Linked DNA regions of Arabidopsis thaliana. The protein of the gene in region 4 interacts with the protein of the main gene of each other region in a biochemical or structural test. Each region holds a gene or a part of one and is shown on either strand. Other genes may lie near its edges.

What was found.
Region 1: of the proteins of OST1 (region 4) and KUP6, one has a biochemical effect on the other in vitro, tested with the Arabidopsis thaliana proteins (one study listed by BioGRID).
Region 2: of the proteins of OST1 (region 4) and ABF2, one has a biochemical effect on the other in vitro, tested with the Arabidopsis thaliana proteins (3 studies listed by BioGRID).
Region 3: of the proteins of OST1 (region 4) and OZS1, one has a biochemical effect on the other in vitro, tested with the Arabidopsis thaliana proteins (4 studies listed by BioGRID).

Annotation. Positions count from the first base shown.
Region 1 is NC_003070.9:26,477,234-26,483,204, reverse strand, and holds KUP6 (K+ uptake permease 6), read left to right. Parts: upstream 1-1,574; 5' UTR 1,575-1,971; coding exon 1,972-2,007; intron 2,008-2,104; coding exon 2,105-2,600; intron 2,601-2,705; coding exon 2,706-2,759; intron 2,760-3,268; coding exon 3,269-3,582; intron 3,583-3,671; coding exon 3,672-4,050; intron 4,051-4,142; coding exon 4,143-5,212; 3' UTR 5,213-5,462; downstream 5,463-5,971. UniProt on the Arabidopsis thaliana protein: Probable potassium transporter.
Region 2 is NC_003070.9:17,164,609-17,169,779, forward strand, and holds ABF2 (abscisic acid responsive elements-binding factor 2), read right to left. Parts: upstream 3,282-5,171; 5' UTR 3,165-3,281; intron 3,134-3,164; exon of another isoform or gene 2,874-3,133; 5' UTR 2,853-2,873; coding exon 1,734-2,852; coding exon of another isoform or gene 1,581-1,733; exon of another isoform or gene 1,462-1,580; coding exon of another isoform or gene 1,417-1,461; exon of another isoform or gene 1,175-1,416; coding exon 1,103-1,174; intron 1,023-1,102; coding exon 993-1,022; intron 887-992; coding exon 812-886; 3' UTR 550-811; downstream 1-549. UniProt on the Arabidopsis thaliana protein: Involved in ABA and stress responses and acts as a positive component of glucose signal transduction. Functions as a transcriptional activator in the ABA-inducible expression of rd29B.
Region 3 is NC_003070.9:4,256,768-4,261,140, forward strand, and holds OZS1 (C4-dicarboxylate transporter/malic acid transport protein), read right to left. Parts: upstream 2,534-4,373; 5' UTR 2,483-2,533; coding exon 1,976-2,482; intron 1,901-1,975; coding exon 1,089-1,900; intron 1,012-1,088; coding exon 660-1,011; 3' UTR 501-659; downstream 1-500. Other genes in the region: AT1G12470 (zinc ion binding protein), read left to right, coding at 59-175, 258-434; AT1G12490 (F-box associated ubiquitination effector family protein), read left to right, coding at 4,016-4,170, 4,199-4,373. UniProt on the Arabidopsis thaliana protein: Slow, weak voltage-dependent S-type anion efflux channel involved in maintenance of anion homeostasis.
Region 4 is NC_003075.7:16,269,807-16,275,371, reverse strand, and holds OST1 (Protein kinase superfamily protein), read right to left. Parts: upstream 3,628-5,565; 5' UTR 3,009-3,627; coding exon 2,838-3,008; intron 2,527-2,837; coding exon 2,452-2,526; intron 2,357-2,451; coding exon 2,255-2,356; intron 2,171-2,254; coding exon 2,117-2,170; intron 2,033-2,116; coding exon 1,940-2,032; intron 1,871-1,939; coding exon 1,778-1,870; intron 1,523-1,777; coding exon 1,418-1,522; intron 1,313-1,417; coding exon 1,214-1,312; intron 1,102-1,213; coding exon 903-1,101; coding exon of another isoform or gene 856-902; exon of another isoform or gene 813-855; coding exon 715-812; 3' UTR 547-714; downstream 1-546. Other genes in the region: AT4G33945 (ARM repeat superfamily protein), read right to left, coding at 4,858-4,981, 5,076-5,254, 5,473-5,565.

The DNA.
Region 1 (5,971 bases), on a different chromosome or scaffold from region 4:
TTTAAATTATCCACGAATATGTGGAGCTCTATGTAGACGCATAATTGTGCCGCATATAAATGCCGTCAGCTTAATTTTGGCAGTTTTCGTTACACGAAAATGGAACAAATGTAAATGATCAAATAAGAGAGGACCCATAACATCATATATGTGTCGGCCTTTCGATCACCCTCTCCACATAAAACCTCAAATGGCCATATTTTTTTCATTTATATATTTCTTAAATGGAGTAATACCCATTACCCAAAAAAGTGGTCACCAAGAGGAATTATTCTGTTATAGATTCCACCATCGAAGCTAAAAGCAAATAGATATATTATTGATAAAATAAAATAAGGATGGCTGCTAGAAATAGAAACGCATGGGTGTTTTGGATAATCCTATAATATATGTTTGGTAAATATAATATTACATTTTCGATAACTTATTGTATTAAGTTCATATTTAAAACCAACTCGTGCTAAGAAACGAATAAATGCCGTGGAGCATAAATATTAGTAACTTGGTATATTAAATAAGTGAGACTTACATTTGTTTTTAAAATTTGGTCAAGGGTTTACATTTCTCATTTAAAGAAATGTCATAAGATAAACTAAACAAAAATTATAGTTGTTGAGATTAGGTAGCTTGAATGTTAACTCAAAAGTTTCATGCTTTTTCATTCGCTCAATTGCTTTTGTTTTGAATGGAGCAATCAGAAGAAAATAAGTTTAATTGTTAAAACAAGTCGCCAACAATTTTTGAACCATTGAAAACATAAACCAATATTTGAAGCATTTAAGAAAGATTTTTTTTTTGAATCATGGATGTTGAAAACTTTGACTTCGATCAAAGGACAAAATTTTCAATTTTCAATCTTTATGATATCGTAAATCACTTTATTTTTGAAAAGTGAATCAAAAAACATTTGTCGAACTCTAATAGCTTGAACTCAAAATTTTTCAGTAATCATAAAATCTCCAGATTTTACTGCATTTTTTATTTTTACATTCGAATTACCTTGTTTAAATATGTAGATTATGTACTTTCGCTTTTGTTTTCCTTAACCATATTGTTTTCCTTTTAAAACATAGATGCCAAATATTAAGTTTATTTTAGTATCACTTTAAACCACATATCTTAAACAATTTAGTTACATTAAATTCAAACAATATAATGCAAGTAAATGAATAAAGATGGGGATATAAAAAAAGGTAAAGAAAAACAAAGGTAAAGATTGCTTTGACTAAATATAGCCAAATAGGCAAATATAATTACAGTCCTTCATCTTTTCTCTAGCTTTAGAATTTGTCTTCAAATATGAACATAATTAGTATAGTATTTTGATAATCACTTTATAGAAAGCTTGAATTATATGAATCAACATCCCACTTATCAAAAGCCACACTTTTCATTTCCTTTTTCACTCTCACTTTGACATTTTAACTTTCCTCATAATTACAAAAAAATATTGTATTAAATAGTAATTACTAAAATTAAGAAAATTCTTAGCATCTGAAGATTTAGTTGACTAATCTCAGACCTAATCTGTTTCAGTAAACTCTATATATGTAAATTAAATTATATCTCTGATTATAAATTAAAAACAAAAAAACAAAAAACGTCTCTTTGTATCTCCTCAAAAGCCGAAACAAAACCTCTCTTTCTCACAAGTAAGCAACTTCAAAATCTGGTTAACCCAAATTACAAAAAAAACAAAAAAATAAAAAGTCGCTCTCTTTCTTCTTAAAAATCTCAACTTTGTCGTCCAAAACTCCAAATCCAGAAACCCATACGCAAATATCCTTCTACGTGTTTGCTCCTTTCACGTTTTTCTCGAATCTTCTCGCATTTACCAATCAAACAGATTCTAAAGTTCCAAACTTTTTCTTTCTTTCTCAAACCATTCTCTGTTTCTCAACTCTTCACTTTCCAGTGGTAAGATTTGAATCATGGGTTTCTCAAATTCTTAACTTTTCACAAAAGCCCACCATGGAAATCGAATCAGGAAGTTATCAAAACGCCAAGGTAAGTCATCATCAGATTTGATCACAAAGTTCTTACCTTTACGAAAACTCTCTTCTCTTTCCTCGTAATCATCGATATCTGATTTTGTTGATTGCAGAAGGAATCATGGAGAACAGTATTAACATTAGCGTATCAAAGCTTAGGTGTTGTATACGGAGACTTGAGTATTTCACCTCTATATGTATACAAAAGCACATTCGCTGAAGACATTCATCACTCTGAATCCAACGAAGAGATCTTTGGTGTTTTGTCTTTCATCTTTTGGACAATCACTCTTGTCCCTCTTCTTAAATACGTTTTCATAGTTCTTAGAGCAGATGATAATGGTGAAGGAGGCACTTTTGCTCTTTACTCGCTTTTATGTCGACACGCACGAGTCAACTCGTTACCGAGTTGTCAATTGGCTGATGAGCAGCTTATTGAGTATAAGACTGATTCAATTGGTTCGTCTTCGATGCCTCAATCTGGTTTTGCAGCGAGTTTGAAATCTACTCTTGAGAAACATGGAGTTTTGCAGAAGATTTTGCTTGTTCTTGCTTTGATTGGGACTTGTATGGTTATTGGTGATGGTGTTCTCACGCCTGCTATTTCAGGTTTAGTCAACAAAAATATCTTTGACTTTTCTCTTTGTTTCATGTCAAAGACAAGATCATTGATTTGTTTTACTTATCACTGTTCATTTCTTTTGTCTATTACAGTTTTTTCTGCAGTATCTGGTGTTGAGCTTTCAATGTCTAAGGAGCATCACAAGTGTGAGTTTTTTCTCACTATTCTTGATTAGTTTCCTAGGCCTAGTTCATGGTGATTGTGGTCATAGATTGAGTCTAGTTTTCTCACAAGCTTGGGTCCTAGAATCATCCTGAAGTCGTCGGGTTTTTTTTCTTAACTGTGGAGCCCGTTGTTCCCACCATCTGTTTATTTGATTGCTTGATAGAGTTTGCACGTAACACGAATTAAATATCGTGGCGCCATCACGATATCAGGATTATCTATATCGCTTTCGGTTCCTTAATTTGATGGCCCACGTTATTGAATAGGTGTTTGGAGTCTTCTCTAGACATCAAGTGGATATCTATACCAAAACTAGTAGTTCATTATTGGATCTTTGTGTAACATTTTACTTTATTATTGAGTTTCAATCTGCAACTGTCATGTTCAACAAGTCTCGTAGATGTTAAAGTTTTGACCTTTTGCCTCATAATAAGGTTATTGTGATTGTGTCTGAAACTTTTTTCTTTGGCTTTTTGTTTTGTTTATGCAGATATAGAACTCCCTGCTGCTTGTGTAATTCTGATAGGTTTGTTTGCACTTCAGCACTACGGTACACACAGGGTCGGGTTCTTGTTCGCCCCGGTGATTCTGTTGTGGCTAATGTGTATCAGCGCCATCGGTGTTTACAACATTTTCCATTGGAACCCGCATGTGTACCAAGCACTTTCTCCTTATTACATGTACAAGTTCCTCAAGAAAACTCAAAGTAGAGGCTGGATGTCTCTTGGTGGTATCTTACTCTGCATTACAGGTTCCGAAGCAATGTTTGCGGATCTAGGACATTTTTCTCAACTCTCAATCAAGGTCTTATAGACTTCTTCTCTTCTCTATTTCTTCTTAACATTTGTTCTCCATTTTCCTTCTTAACATTCTCTATTGTCCTCTTGTTACAGATTGCTTTTACGTCACTTGTTTACCCGTCCTTGATACTCGCCTACATGGGACAAGCAGCTTATCTCTCTCAGCATCATATTATTGAAAGCGAATACAATATCGGGTTTTATGTATCGGTACCAGAAAGATTAAGATGGCCAGTTCTTGTGATCGCTATACTCGCTGCTGTAGTTGGAAGTCAAGCAATCATCACAGGAACATTCTCGATCATCAAACAATGCTCTGCATTGGGATGCTTCCCTAAAGTGAAGATTGTTCATACGTCATCCAAAATCCACGGTCAGATTTACATCCCTGAGATCAATTGGATCTTGATGGTTCTCTGTTTAGCTGTCACCATTGGCTTCAGAGACACCAAGCGGTTGGGTAATGCTTCAGGTATTTATAACTGAAATCATTTCATTTTAGTTTGGTTACTACTTCAGGTACCGTTGCTAACTAACTAACCGTTGATAATGTTTTTTTAATAGGATTGGCGGTTATAACTGTTATGCTGGTGACAACATGCTTAATGTCACTAGTGATTGTACTTTGCTGGCACAAGAGTGTCATCTTTGCAATCGTATTCGTTGTATTCTTCGGCACAATCGAATCTCTCTACTTCTCTGCTTCCTTAATCAAATTCCTCGAAGGCGCATGGGTTCCAATCGCCCTCGCTTTTTGCTTCCTTCTCGCGATGTGTACTTGGCACTACGGAACACTCAAGCGCTATGAGTACGATGTGCAAAACAAAGTCTCGGTCAACTGGCTCCTCAGTCTTAGTCAAACCCTCGGGATCGCACGTGTCCGTGGCCTTGGACTCATCCACACCGAGCTCGTCTCTGGTGTCCCCGCGATATTCTCTCATTTTGTCACCAACCTCCCTGCCTTCCACCAGGTTCTCGTCTTCCTCTGTGTCAAATCTGTTCCGGTTCCGCATGTTCGTCCTCAGGAACGGTTTCTAGTAGGACGCATCGGGCCAAAAGAGTTCCGCATATACCGTTGCATTGTCCGGTTCGGGTACCGTGATGTCCACAAAGACGATTTCGAGTTTGAAGGCGATCTTGTATGTAGCATTGCCGAGTTTATCCGTACTGAAGCTGAAACCGCCGCCACCGCTGCAGAGACCAACGGAGAGGATGATGATAGAATGTCAGTAGTAGGTACTTGTTCCACATACATGCAAGGAATTGAGGATCACTACGAAAGCGATATTGATGACCCTGATAAACCAGGGACGTCAGAGATTCGATCACCAAAACCAAAGAAAAAGAGTAAGAGTAAGGTCAAAAAGAGAGTGAGGTTTGTTGTCCCGGAGACTCCAAAGATAGAAAAGGAAACTAGGCAAGAGTTAATGGAGCTAACAGAGGCACGAGAGGGAGGCGTGGCTTATATAATGGGAAACGCTTATATGAAAGCGAAGCCAGGATCAGGATTACTCAAGAGACTCGCCATTAACATTGGCTACGAGTTTCTTAGGAGGAACACTAGAGGTCCTAGAAACATGCTTACCTCGCCTCACGCTTCTACTTTAGAAGTCGGTATGATCTATAATGTCTAAAGGGGGGTATTTTGGTCTTTTTGTAAATGCTTTTGTTGTGGTTTAATTTGCCAAAAAAAAAAAAATGAATTAGATATAGCTAAAGAAATTTTGTTCTGTGGAGGTTTTGCTAAAGGTTGTTAGAGTTTATAGCTCAAGAATCCTCCCTTAGAGCCAAATATAGAGTTCAAACTTGTGTACAAATGATATATGTGAATCATGTTTACAATATGTTTGTGATTACATTGTCCCATTTTAAAGCAAAAAATAGTCCATGAGGTTGTATGGAGCATGGTGGGCTACTAATGGGCCATCAAAACAAAATTTCGAAAAAGTTAAAACCGGTTAAGCTAATCAGATTTAGCCAGACCGGACCAAATCCGAAGATGAAAATCCATTCGTCGAGCTGTCAATGTTGGACTGGTATTAATTTGTCTGAAAGCGATCTGACTTTGGATAATATTACTCAAATAACAGCTCAAATGTTTTAAAACTGAAACCACGTGCTTCTCTAAATTTTAGTTATCCTTTCTCTTTCGTTTATATTATTAATTTTTCTGACTCAAATTCAGTCTTGCTTTTTTTTTATAAATGAAACTATTTAAGCAATCTCATTGTATGAGTTTTTGTATGATTTATCTAATAAGTAGTATATTCTTTTTTATGTGTCCCTAGTTATCTTCTTTACGTCATGAATTTTCTTGTCGTGTATGAAATATTATAATTTGCAGACATTGTGTTCGAAACGTAAACTCAGAAGTCTTATACAAGAATATACAG
Region 2 (5,171 bases), on a different chromosome or scaffold from region 4:
AATTAACCTTTTATTTTGTCCTCGGAAAACATGGAAAGATAGAGTTGGGTAAGACGAAATACCTAAAGATAGTATTTGATTTTACACCGGAGACGAAACGAATCAACGAAAAACTAGGGTTTTGCAGGTGAAATTAGGGAGAATTTGAGCGACGAAGTGGGAGAGAATGAGAGTGAACACTTTCATTTTTAGTAACTAAAAAATCAAACCGAATAAGTCGGTTTTGGTTCGATTCGGTCATCGGTTAAATTGGTTCGGTTATGTATTTATTCTCCATGCAAATGATTAATCCCGTTTGGTTTGGTTATCGAATTTAGAGGAATTTTACTTTGATACATACATAAATTTCAGTACAAATGTTTACTTTGTGTAACTGTCGGTTCAGTGAACCACATCAAACCGACTCGGTTACCTCATCCGTCCGAAATGACCAAGGTTCGGTTCGGTTTGGGTTATAGTCGCTTGCCTAGAAGGCTAGAATGCTGTGTTGGCACAGGTCATAGTTTTGGCACTCAGAGAAACCAAACAACACTTCAATTCTTCAAAATTGGTAACTCCAAGATCAAGAAAGTACATTTTGAGGTTTAATAGCGACAACGACAAACAACAACGAGAAACACACACAAAATTCTTGGTCTAAATAAAGCAAAAGAGATTCTGATGATCCTGTGTATGTAAAAAACATAACATATATGGAGAGAGCTTACAATATAAACGATGAAAGCTCTTCTCTATTAAGTCTAATTCAACTAAAACACCTAAGTGGGATGTCATTTATCTACAGAAACTAAGTATGATGGCATTGATTGATTCACCAAGGTCCCGACTCTGTCCTCCTCAGCTTTTTCTTTGGACCTCCTTGCAGAAGATTCCTCATCTCCGTCTCCTGTTTTATACATAGCACGGAAACAAACAACCAAGTTTACAAGTTCAGCTATGAAATGTGCAGTTTAGAGATTCCAGTGTTGTTGCATTGGCATAAGAATTATTACCTGATTCTTTTGCATTTCCATGATCCTTGCCTGTAAAACATGAGGCGTACAATGAGAAATGAATGTAACGTATGAGCAACTGTGATGCTGAGACATGGTTTTGTGATTACCTGCTTTCGTTGTAACTCGTCATTCTCTTCCTTTAACTTTGCAACTTCAGCTTCAAGCTCCACGGTGTAAGCCTATGAACCAAAACAAGCACGACTGAGAAGCTTATGAGATAAAGACTAGAGTGCCATTCAAAACATTTAGACCCTCAAATGTAGAACTCAACAGTTTGGTCATAGTACATGTCAGATGTAACAGGTTTTTGGGAGCACCAATTACCCATTACCTTGCCCCAAAAGAAAAACCATGTCGCCACTACTCAGGTTTTGACGATGAACCCTCACTACTCATTTAAACTCTGAGCCACCTCATGACATTAGCAAATTACATTCCAGTATATTGTTTGGTCTGCCGTGAATATCTGCGGATGGGCAACATGTATATACACCAAAACCAGAAGGTTCATATTTGTTTGCGAGATTCATTCAGCCACAAGTACTGATTTCAAGTCCCAATAATTCTGTTTAGTTGTTTACTACACTACTTCACACAAGACACTTTACGCTTTGAATTCAACGCTTCATTGTGGTTAAAGAACTTAACTACAAGATAAGCTAACCAATTTACTTTACATATCTTTTGGCTTATAACACAATCAAGAGTACATAGATAGATGGTGATGAAGAGATTAACCTGTTTCCTGGCCCGGGACCTTGCAGCTGATTCTCGGTTCTTTATCATTCTCCTTTGCCTTCTCTCTACAACTTTCTCCACAGTGCCACTCTTTCTACCTCTCACACCACCATTAAACATGTAAGGAGACGGAGAGAGTGATGAAGAATCACCATTACTCTTCCCTATCCCTTCTGATGACAATGGCGTAACAGGCGACACAGCACCAACGCCTAAAGCTCCAGGAATTGCAGCAGAAGCACCTTGGACAAAGCCCACATTGTTCGTTAAAGACTGATCTCCAAGTCCCACAAGACCACCACCTCTTATCCCAGGACTATTAAGCTGACCCATTTGTGTTCCATAACCAAAACCAGGCTGCTTAGGCATGATTGGCTGTTGCTGTTGCGATTGCTGGTATGTTGTTCTAGCTCCATTCACATTCAGAGGCAAACTAGAACCTTGAACCTGCAAAGAATTTGCAGTCTCTGCACCAAGATTTCCCATTACACCAGCGGCAACAACTCGTGGAGAAGGCTGCTGAAACTCGACAGAGAAACCTGTGTTGGCATCATTACCAAAGTAACCGCCTTTATTGTTCTCAGCAATCTGAGCTCTTGCAGCAACCTGAGCTTCCTCTCTCACAACACCAGCACGAACCAAAAACTCCTCCAAAGTTACTTCACCTAATGTTTGCTGCCTCTGACTCTGACTCTGACTCTGAGCCTGAGCCACCTGAGACAAGTTACTTCCCCCTACTCCACTACTTCCAACTTTGGATAGATCTTTCCAAACTTGATCAACCGTCTTCTGACTAAGCGTTCGAGGCAGAGTCAACGAGCCTTGCCTCTGCAGCTGCAAACCCTCTTGACCTCCACCAAGAACTGGAACCACACCACTAGCCATGGCTTGTGTTTCTTCAGCACTCCATATATTCTTTAACAACTCATCCATGTTCATTGACCCAAAATCTTTCCCTACACTGCTCTGAAACTCATCAAACGTCAACGAGTATATCGAACCTTGTCTAGTCAACCCTCCACCTCCACCACCATCTCCTGGTGGCTCATTCCCCAAATTCATACTACCATCCATTTTTCTACAAAATCTGCTTCCACCTAATAACTGGATCTGAACCATGAATACAAAAAAAAATCCAAACTTTAGTTTAAAAATCCAAACTTTAGTATCAGAACCCTAATCTATAAATAAAAATCAAGAAATCTGCAAAACCCAATTCAAAAACACTAACAGATTTCAAAACTTTAATAGTCAAATGGATAAAAACAGATTAAACCAACAGGAGAATATGAATGCGTTTATGACAAGTATTAGGCACAATTAGTAATTTTATCCAAAAATTAAGTGTGGACATAAATCGAAAGAATTAAAAGAAGATGAACAAAAACCACAGTTTCTTCTATACACACAAAGAGAAGAAAAATCTATTACCTTTTTGCTAAATTCGTGTGCTTTGTAATTTTCCCAAAAAATTTCAAAATGTTTGGTTCTTCGTTTGGGTGATTAGGTAGTTTGTCTGGTGAGCCAAGTGTCTCTCTGGCTCCTAACAATCTTGAATAAATACTACTTTTGCTAATTATTTTAATAAAATGGTATATACTCTGTATCTTTGTATTTTGCGTCACTTTCCCTCTTCGTTTTTATTTTACTAATTTCACTTACTAATTGTTTTCCTTTTCAGGATTTATGTTGTTTTAATTTACTTTAGGTTCCTAAAATAAGTTGTTTTCACTTTGGAATTCCGTCCAAAAATCATTGTATCTACACAATAAATTAAAATGTTAAAACGTCTTTAAAATTGTAAAATTAAGATTGGATTATGTTTATGAAAATAAAGTATTATATACTAGAAAAGAAATGAAAATATTGTATTTTACATATATATATATATATATTAATATTATATCTGGCGAATTTGGATATGTTGACTTGGAAATTATGATATCTAGATCCAAATGTTGCTTGGACAAATCCAAATTGTTACTACCCAGATTTCCAAGTAATATCTAAATATTTAAATATTTTGAGAGAAACCAAATGATTTTTGGGTATGTAAACTTTAAAATTGTATTTAAATCAATTTGGACGGATTCAAATTTTTACTATTGATCTCAACACTTTGAATATCGGAAATTTTGGAAAGAATAGTGACAAATTCTTTATATCGGATTCGAGATAATAATTTCACTCTAACAATTGTGCTAATTAACCAATTAATATTTATTTGTTTAGGTACACATGGTTGCGGTGGTTGGAGAACAAAATGGGTTTGTAGATTAGACAACTTCTTATTTATCATTCACAAAATTATAATTTGTAGTGGTATATACAAAACAAAAAGAAAAAAAAACTCTATATACAAAATAATTCATATAGTTCTTACATAAAAAATTGGTATTATATATGGGTATAGTCCTAAAACTTCTCAGAAAGTTTACATATCAAAATGGATTAAAGTTTACCAATCAAAATGTTCGTTAAAAAAGAAAATATTGGTATAATTCCAAATTTTAATCCGATTTATCCACAATATCCATTCAAAACCTTAATTCTTTTTAAAAAAATCAGCTAATATTTTATTTCACCGGTGAATTGAAAACGCTTCTCCATCCTGAAGTGACAAAGGTCCAATAATCAATCACCTGAGTTTGTTATTTATGATCGGTCCACTTACTTCTTTAGTCCTCTGATTACAAAAGTTTTAAAAAAGAAAAAAGTAGTTGTAACGAAATAACGTGTCGCTCCATTACTGTCACAACCAACAAAAACAAAAACACGAACCAACCTCGATGAGACAGACACATAATGAAACCAAATCTCAGCCGTTGATTGTCGATGTAACGTGGACGAACACTATTATTTGCTTTCACATCGACTTTGTGTTTTGTGGGGGAAGATGTCAGAAACCAAAGAGTCTTCTTACTTTTTTTCCATTGGTCCACGTCTCTAGTTTTTAGTTGGGCTCACCTTCACATTATCAAACCCATCTTATTATTTTTTACGTTTAAAAATTAAATACAAGGACAATAATACTCTCAATTCACTAATTATAGTAGTGTTTTTTTTTTTTCTGCTAAAGTACATCATTGACTCTAGCATATAGTTTAATAAGTTTTGAATTTGCTTGGAAAAATTCTTTAAGAATATTCTCTTAACACAAAATTATATATACTTATGTTTTAACTGGTTGCTTTGCACACAAAAAATGGTTTTAACTGGTTGCTAATAGAATATTAAAGCCCTGCTCACAAGTGTGTACTGGTTCTCTCTACCTCTGCACATAAGTTCAATGTAACAGATATCATCATATAAACGCTAAAGATTTCAAGATAATGAACATATTAAAGACTTGTGATGGTTCTAATTCCTCATATCTCCTGCGGAAACCATATTTTCTAGAAAGTTCCATTCGTATTTCCAACTCAAAGAAAAACAGTG
Region 3 (4,373 bases), on a different chromosome or scaffold from region 4:
AATATTTGTTCGTTATTGTGATTCCATTTTTTGATTGGTTTTCCCAAAATCTGTCTAGGCCGAGCATATACTCGATCTGCAGAAGCAACTGACATTGCTTGGAAGCGAAACCCGGAGGGATATAAATGGTAACCGATCTGATGAACCCATAACAAGCACAACAACTGCAGACAAGGTAGGGACATTTTCTTTTCCTTTTTTAATCTTTTCTTTAACATTTTTCTGTGACCTGACATATTTTCTTTACGGTGAGGCAGCTTCGATCAGAGCTAGATGATGCTATTGCCAGCGAATGCCCGTTCTGTGGAGAATTAATGATCAATGAGATCACTCTGCCTTTTATTAAACCTGAGGATTCACAGTATTCTACTTCATGGGACCTCCGATCAGAGACCAACTTAGCAAACCAGAGGACCATTTCTTTGCCTGTTTGATTCATGTCAAACCGTGAATTCTTTCTTGTGTGATCTCTTCTTCAGCTAGCTTTGAAATGTGAATGTGATTTTTGGGTTCTGTATTATTGATGTAGTATTACTATTAAACATGCTTCTGGAGATACATACAATATGCTATCTCACCTACTTTTGTCTCTATATCTAAGTGTTTTTCTGAACTATTATTTCGATCTAAAAGATACTTCTGTATTCCATGATTTTACATCAGTGATGCGACTCTTCCTCTGCTTCAAAATCTTTTTCTGCAGATATTTTCTTCGCCAGAGCCTGCTTGGTCCAGCGCTTCAAGTCATAAGCTCTTTTAAAAGGCTTCTTCTCCCTGGTAAGTTTCCTCTTTGTAATGGCAATTGCAAGATCGTTTGGGAACAACGTTTGCCAGACAAAGGCGTGGAGAAGCGTGGAGACAAACAAAACGCAGACCATCGCTGTGGAAATGAAGGAAAGAGTGAGTGCTAGAGCCCGGCTCGGGTAACCAGGTACTGCCTCTGCATACTTTATTGTTGCTACGGATGCTGTTGTCATAGGAAAAGTATATGACCACCACGCCACTGAGAACCTGCAAAACCCCGTAGCCACTTAGTATCATCAACATATATCTTCAACCAAGAATATTTAAACCCGAGATGGACTTACTTAAATCCAGTGAAGAAATTGATCCGAGCAACTAGGGATATGTATAGGAAGAGTGCAATGAAGAAGCAAGTTCTTGAACATCCGTCGAATTGGCCATATATCGTGTTCCAAGCAATACTTGCTGCTGATGGGGCAGCAATGAACATAGAGTAAACAGGATGAAGCTCTTTAGGAAGAGCTTCACTGGTGGGAAGTCTCTGATAAAGTGTTACAAACACAACCAAGTAATGTGCAAAACCTACTGCCCATAGAAACTTAGCTACTTCATCCCATCCAACTTTTGAAGCTAAGATGGCCCCGACGAAATTCCCTACAACAGAAAGATGAGAAGATGGGTTTGCGACTTTGCATAGTCGCCTCTTCCCTCCCGAAAGCCATTGCCCGTAGATCTTTAGCTCGAGGAAGAAATAAGGACCCATGAAAACACACCAAATGGCGGGATGGAGGTATTTTCGGTTTGGTGAGAACATGGGAGGTACGCTAATGGCTAGGAACATGCAAACCACCCAAGGAGCGAAGAAGAAGTTGACTCGAACAGGATGAAAATACTCTCTTTTGACAGCTTCAAAGTAGAAGATGCATTTGAGTATGTAAGTGAAGGACACAGAGACTAAAACTACCAGTGAAAATAGCCATACAACTAAGTTAATCAATGGTGTGATGTGTAAAAAGTTTGTTGCAGGACTTTTCGCTAGGGCAAGCCACAAGACAGCTTGACTGCTAAGTCCCAAACAGATACCGAAGCATCCAATTGGGAACCTTAGGAGAAACGGCCATTGCTCCTCTTTTGGAAGCAGAATATCTTCATTGTCCTGCAAGAGAGTACAATTGGAACTAACTGATAATTAAGTTTTGAAGAGAGAAAGAGAAAGAAGAAGAGTTGTTACCTTGACTTCATCCAATTCAGGTCCTCTAAGAGCAGCAAAGTATCTTCCTGCAGAAACATTTTCATTTATAGAATCATCTTTGGTCTCACCATCTTCAGTTCTTAAAGAATTCTCAATGTCTCTCTCCCTTATTATAGAAGGCAATAAAGACTTTTGTTTGCTGAGCGTTGATTTAGTCCTAAACATACTAAAATCTGTTTTCCGACCATCTCCACCGTTGATGATTCCACCTGATTCAAACCCGCCAAAGCTACGACCACTCCTCGGTAAACTCTTTTTGTCATCTCTTTCTCTAGATTCTCTGTTGAGCACTGAGAAACCTGTCTCTAGCGAAACCTGTCTGCTAAAACCTCTGAATGGTCTTTGTTTCCCTCGGTTTGGTCCTCTGTTTCCAGAGAATCTCTTGTTGTTGTTGTTCTCTTGCTGTTGCAGTTCTTGCTCTGCTTCATCTTCAACTTCATTGATGTCGGCGAAAGTGGAATGAGCATTTGACTGTTTCCTCTCCATTGATCAGAGCAATTTGATAATTTGAAACACAAGAGAAGATATTTTTCTTCTAGTATGGAAAGGAAACATGTTAATGTATATAGAAAGATGCAATGGACTAAGTTAAAAAAAGCAAAGTTTGTGGTTAAGGGGCACGAGAAAGCTTGGTGAATGGTGTGAGTTAATGCGTATGTGAACCAAAACTTTCCTGGAAAGTTTCTTAGGTTTCTCGTGAAAGCTTTTCGATCCAAACTACTTGGAAAAGGTGAGAGACGATGAAAAAAAAAAAAAAAAAAAGGCCGTTCCATTAGTCACGAGATTCAAATGCAACCAAAGTCAATTTGCTCTTTTCTATACAAAACATAATTTGAGTCGTTAATTCGATTTCTGTTAGCTCCTCTTGTTTGGTTAAAACTTATAAACTTAACATATAATACTAACATTTTGGAAAAAGGGGTCGAAAGATTAAAGCAACCAAACATATGTGCAGAAATATGAATGGCATATATTCTTCTTCTTTGTAAGAGATTTTTCTATGAATTTCGTTCCAAAATGCTTTACGTTTTCCCTTTATCCAAACAAAAAACTTTGATCAATGAACTCAAAATAATACAAAAGTGATATAATAAATCATCAAATAGCCTCGCATGGATTAGGAGTCATAGGACCATAAGACAAACTCACATAAGCCGTGATTATTTTCACAACTTCTTGAATAATATGATACAATCTATAATTTATAATTTATAATGTTTGTTTATGAATCAGGTTTAAAACAATATTCGGACTGTTGATTAATAAAAAATTACAAATATAAGCTAAGCTTGAGATCGAACCCTCACACATTGAAGGTAGATTGCCACAGAGATGACCACTATACCGCCACAAGTTTTGTAAGAGTAACGCCCCTAAGTTGTTCTAAACCTTGGCATTTATAGCCTGTAGTTTTTGTTTTTATAGTAAACAAAAAGTTGTAATGTAACCTTACTTCATATAGCTCTAACAATATATGAGTGTTGTGAAATGGGAATACTTATGGGATTAGATTGTTAACCATATATATAAGGTTTGAGATCATTAGGGTGTGTTTACAAAATCTATATTCTTGCAATACCTAATGTTTTCAAAACCCACAACATTAGTGAAGAATTATTGCATGAATCTCTTAGACTTGCAAAGTAGATTCTTATTTAGCGTTCGTGGCTTTTTGGTTCGACATTATTGGAAGCAACCGGAAAGCAGGCAGACCCAGTCAGAATAGTGGTGGGTCCCACGATGTGTCGAATAATATATATCTGATCCTGAAGACAAGATCATGACCGTCGGTTTAAAACACGTAATTGGGTTCCAAGGCTTTATGAAAACCCTAGAAGTAAAAGGGAAAACCGAAAAACAGAGAGATAGGGTTCAAAGCGGTTAGGAAGATCCTTTTTCCTTAAGGAAAAGGAAATCAAGGATAAAGAAGAATTATTCTTTTCCTGGTTATAAATAAGCAAGCCCCTGTTCAACAAAACAATCACAAAAAGAATGTCAAAAAAGCAACGCTGCTTGAGGATGGAATCGCTGCCCCACGAGGTCGTAGAGCGCATCCTAGAGAAGACTTGCTGTGGATTCTCTGCTGAGATTCACGGCTGTATCGAAACAATGGAAATCATCGATCGAATCTCCATTCTTCCAACAAAGACAATTGACACAGCGTCAGCAATCAGGTGATCCAGCTCTTCTCATGGTCTCCAGAAGTCGTGAGGATTATTTTAACCCGGATTTAAAACATCTAACTACACTGGTGTTGGGTTCATCATCATCGGTCACCATCCCTACACCTTGGGAGAAGGACAAGGAGAAGGAGAAGGAGAAGGAGAAGGAGGACGAAGAATTCTTCTTAGTTTCTTTTGATAGCTGTGACGGTCTC
Region 4 (5,565 bases):
TTTTTAAAAAAATTAAAAACATTGAGTATTTTTTAAAGTAGGAATAATATTAATTTCAATGAACAAGAACAACTATCAAGTACTGGTTCATTATCAATTTATTATTCGAAAAATATTTAGAAAAGAAAAAAAACGAAGATGCGTGAATAAGCATCTTTTTTAATTTAAAGCGAATTACCGTACGTATGTCCTTCTGAACATATAACATGCATATTAAATTATTAATGAATGTGTTCCATCTACATTTATGCTGTTTTTGTATTTTTTGTGAAAATGGGAATATCATCTTATTTCCATATAGTTCAAGTCTTCAAGATATGCCCCATCTATTTACTTCAGTTTGATATTATCAAGTACCCACTTTAATCTGTATAGTACTACAGAATATCGATTTCTTTATCTTTTGCATAGCCTATATGTTGTTTAGTTGTCAACTTCTCCAAATTAGTTTAACAATTTTGTTTCTAGTATTATTAGAAAAACAAACAAAAAATACTAGAGAGAGTAGATAAAATACTGATTGATGAAAATGTTTTTTTTTTTTTTTTTCACTTTTGTTTAGAAATTTAGTCTTTTGCATATCAAAGATTCAAAGTGTACTCATTGAGACAAAGTTGGGCCAACTCAATAGCAAGCAAAACATCTTAATCTTATTCTTCAACATTTTTTGTTTGACATTTTTGTAGCAGAAACCATGCAAATAGATATATAGTATCACATTGCGTACACAATCTCTCCGCTACTGTCGATGTCAAGATCATCAAGGTCGCTCTCTAAGTCTTCCTCCATATCGTCATCTATGTCCAAGCTTCCTGTTTATCCATTAATGATAAGTTTTTCAAACATTGAGAAGCATTAAAAAAGACAAGAAATCGAAAAGTTTATGTTTTGTGTTGTCTCACCTGTGAGGTAATGGTTCAGATTCTGAGTGCCTGCAGGAGGAACAGTTGCTTCTGCAATGATCTGCATAATTTCTTCTATGCTTTGGCCCGGTTGATCCGATTCATCAAACTGAGTGGTCATCGTGTTATCGTTCATTAGATCTGCCGGTAGATTCTTTAGAAACCATTCATGGTTCCTTATTTCAGGAATTGATATCCTCTGCCAAGAAACCAACCAAGAGGGCCAAAATGCAAAGTTCTCTTTTCAGTCATACTATAAAGAAAATTCACAAATAAATCAACAAATGCAGCTTTCATGATCCTTCCTTTACCTTTGCAGGGTCAGCAACAAATATTCTGGAGATCAAATGGCGACATTCAGGAGATATGTGAACATAATCCGGAATAGCATACTGAACATTCAGGATTCTCTGAGCAAATATTTTCACAAGAGAACAGATAGTTTAGCTAGCAAGTAATAAAATCCATAATTACATTTTTCAACTATTGAAGCATGAAGAAAGTGAAAGGCTCACATGTATAGTTTTCCTGAAATTCTTTGGTTCCTCGGGATCTTCGAAAGGATATGCTCCAACCAGCATGACATACAGAGTAACCCCACAAGACCAAACATCTGCAACCTGAAAAAAAAGAAGAACATTAGGATGCATTTGACTAATTCAACCAAAACTCAAGAATTATCAGTTTACAAATCAGACTCTTAATAGCTTTCTTCACCAAAATTCTTGAAGAGCCAAGATTGTTTTATTTGTGTGAGCTTTCATCAAGAGAAAGCATGTTTCCCCTATCTATAATCAGAGGATAAAAATACAAAGATTGTTCTTTCTATAAGATATGGTTATCATACTAGTTTGGGAACTATGAAAATGGAGTACCTTTCCATCATATTCTTTCTTTAGTAAAACCTCAGGAGCGATGTAAGCAGGAGTTCCAACAGTTGATTTTGGTTGCGAATGTAACACTGATGACTGAAAAAGAAAACACAAAGCTTAGAGATACTAACTAACTCAGAGTTTCTGAAATGTTTTCAAAGATACCTTAGAATATCCGAAATCACATATCTTTAGACGAGGGGCCGGGCTACCATCTAATAACGTATTCTCGAGCTTTAAGTCTCGGTGACATACTTGCTACAACATAAAATTTAACTTCTTAAGTCAGCTGAATTTCACAGAGGATGAAGCATTGATTTGATAGAGAGCATTTTTCATTACCATAGCATGACAGTAACTAACTCCTGAAATGAGTTGCTGGAAGAAAAACCTCGCCTACATGATAGTAAACGATATATTAGCCTCAGCATTTTGAATCTTCGATTAATCATCAAAGCAAGAAAAAAAAGAGAGAACAACCTCGTCTTCGCTGAAGCGGCCTGCATTGCAGATTCGCTCGAAAAGTTCTCCTCCAGATGCATATTCCATAACAATGGCTAAATGGGTTGGTGTTAATATAACCTGAAGCAATCCTAAGGATTAAATTATAGAATTCCTTTTTTTTCCTGAAAATGTTAATAATAAGAAAACAGCTTAAAAGAGAGTTGAAAACAAACCTCTTTGAATCTAACGATATTGGGATGTCTTAAGGACCTGTGGTTGATTATCTCCCTTTTTACATTTTCATCTATCTGTACAAATACAAAAAGTCCCACCATTAATACCACGTTCCATAACAAAAGAAACACCTAGAGCCTTTAAAACAACACTATACAACATAAGTCATAAAGCAAAGCAGAGCAAATTTGGTCTTCCATAAAAATCAATCAATTTTGTAAATCTATAGGGTTAAACCATTCATAACCATAAAGTAACCAAACACACATCTCTCATTGGATGATGAACACACAAAAATGATTTCTTTTGAATTCAAGAACCTAGTGAATTGAAACATAAAATAAAATTGGACTAAGGAGAAAAAACAAGAAGAAAATAAACTGACCTTCTCACCTCTCTCGATATATTTAACAGCAACAAGCTCATTACTTTGCTTGTCTCTCATCAATCTCGCAACTCCAAAATTACCGGAGCCAATATCCTTGACGAGTTCATACCTATCACTATCGTGCATAATCGGCAAATCCATTGGACCACTCACTGCTGGTCGATCCATTTTCTCCCCCTCTTTCCTCTGTCTCTTTGCGACTTCAATCTCTGTGTCAAGAAGATTTCTTTTTTGGGAGACAATATCTAACGACACCAAGACATCAGAGGAAATGAACAACGGTGTGACGTGGATGAATTTGAGCCTTTAAGATGAGAAAAGGAGTATTGGGTGATCAAGTTATGGTTGTGAGAAAGAGACGTTTTCAGAGACCCGTGAAGTATCTAACCAACAACACAAGTGGGTTTCTTGAGATCCTTTTTGTTCCTTTGATCGCTCTCGATGAAGAAGAAGAAGAAGAAGGAAGGCTCGTGATCTTGAACTCTGTTTCTCTCTCTCTGTCTCTCTCTCTATCAGCTTTCCTTTTCTCTGTCAATATAAAAAGGAAACAGCTTTCTCTGTTCTGTTTAAACCACAGCTTGAAGTAAGCTATACAAAACAGAAAGATGAGAGAGATAGAAGAAGTTTTCGCTTTTTCTGTGAACTGTTGAATTGTGATTTGTCAAAGCATGGGAGATAGTTTGAAATGACGGATTTACCCTTTCTACTTACAACGTTCTGACAAACAATGGGGCCTGTAGTTTTTAGAAATGTTTTTTTTTACCGTGACTAGTATAGAAAATAATATTTTAATTAGTATAAACTTTCTTTTTATTGGCAAAGTATTAGTATAAACTATGTGATTTGTTACTCTTTATTTTTCAGTAAGTTTTATCTCTCCATAATATTATGCATTAATTTTTTCCGATTTATTATATGTCTTATTGTAAATAGTATAGCAAAAAATATGAAAATATTAATTGATTAAATTTATGCCTAGAACAGTTACTAAAAATATCTAAGTTTTCAAAAATATAGCACTAGAATGGTATGAGATTTAAAATAACAGATTTTGAATTGATTTTATATCCCAATTTAATTTAATCAAACACAGTGAAAAATGAAATAGAAATAATTTAAATTAACAATTAGTTTTTCTGTTAGTGGATCTATATATTAATATCGTAATATGTCCCTTACATATGTACATTTTTGGCTACTGGATTAATTTTGCCCCTTAAATATGTCCTGAAACGGAGCTGATGAAACATATACTCGCATTAAACAAGCTTATGGCTAATCATGGGAACCTCCATGTATTAATGACCACTAAAAAGATTTACTTTCTATTTCGGTATATAAAAAGGGTTTCCGCATTTAAAAACGGAAAATAAAAGAAAAACAAGTTACCACAAATGTCGAGATATTGTTGGCTAGCTTGTCAGATCTTCACCTAAAAGCTGAAACCGATAGAGTTGCACTCATCATCACTATAGCCCATCATTTTTACTATCTAAAGTTTTTGTTTATGCGCATCCACATGACGATTTTGCTGCAAACTTTTTTTTTAATCATCTTTTAAAAACATATATCCGTACTTAATATTCCCAATACACTCTTCTAGAGCTCGATCATTCCATGGACGTGAACATTTTGTCTTTGTTTCTCTTCCCTTTAGTCAAACAAACATTTTGTCCTTGTTTCAAACTAAAATCGATTTCTTCTAAATAAAGGAAATTCATTGACTAAACGAATGATTTTAGTGAATGAATGAAAATTTCTCATTGTGAAGCCTCTGTTTCTCTATTTACTTTTTTACTATTTAGAGTACCTTTCACCGAAATTTTCAATCAATTCCTTTCAATTTTACTACATGTTCAAGCATTCGAACAAAAGCAATCGTTGCAAAAAAGACTAGATCGGAATGCCTTCTACCCAAAAGAGAGAACTCAATGCAAACTGTTTATGAAATTTTTGAAAAAAAAAACTGGATTCATTCCGGTTGTTGCGAGTACCAACCAATGGAGAAAGATTGACCTTAGTTATTGTAGTTATCAAGGCCAAGGTCTCTCAGTGCATCAGTTGCAGCGGCTCTGCATGTCTCATTGTTGGCTTTAGCAGTTCTTATCAGCTTCTCGATTCCATTAGCAAGCAGAATAGTTCTGTAGTGTGCATGCAGACAGAACTTGATATTATAAAAGAGTTTGCGATATGTGCATATTGTTGGATGACAAGAATTGGAAACAGAGCAAAAACCTGTTCTCTGCACTTCTGACAGCAATGTTCCGTATCATGTTGCAAGCGTTTCTCTGCATTTGAGCAGCTACTGGGAACCTCTTCATTGCTTGGACCGCTAGATCACCAGCTCCAGCTTCTATAGCCTTGGCTGCGTGGTCTGGTGATCTCAGACAGATTATAGAGATTATCAACATCACCTGAACCAATCAAGTATATCTTGGATCAACCACAAGGATTATGCACTCAGACCCTAATGCTACAAGAAACATTCTTCACACGACATTACGTTCTATCTAGTGGAAAACTGCCAAAGACGTGACCTGTAGTCACAAGTATCTTCTCTAGACAGGAAGATTTAAAATTGCGCATGGGACATAGTGTCATAAGAGGGTTTTCGTTTGGTTTATATACTTACCTCTTGTATGACTAGAGGATCATCAGAGAATCGTAGTGCGAGTGTGATTAGCTTGTCCAGACCTTGCTTCTCAACTATGGTACTCTTGTTAGA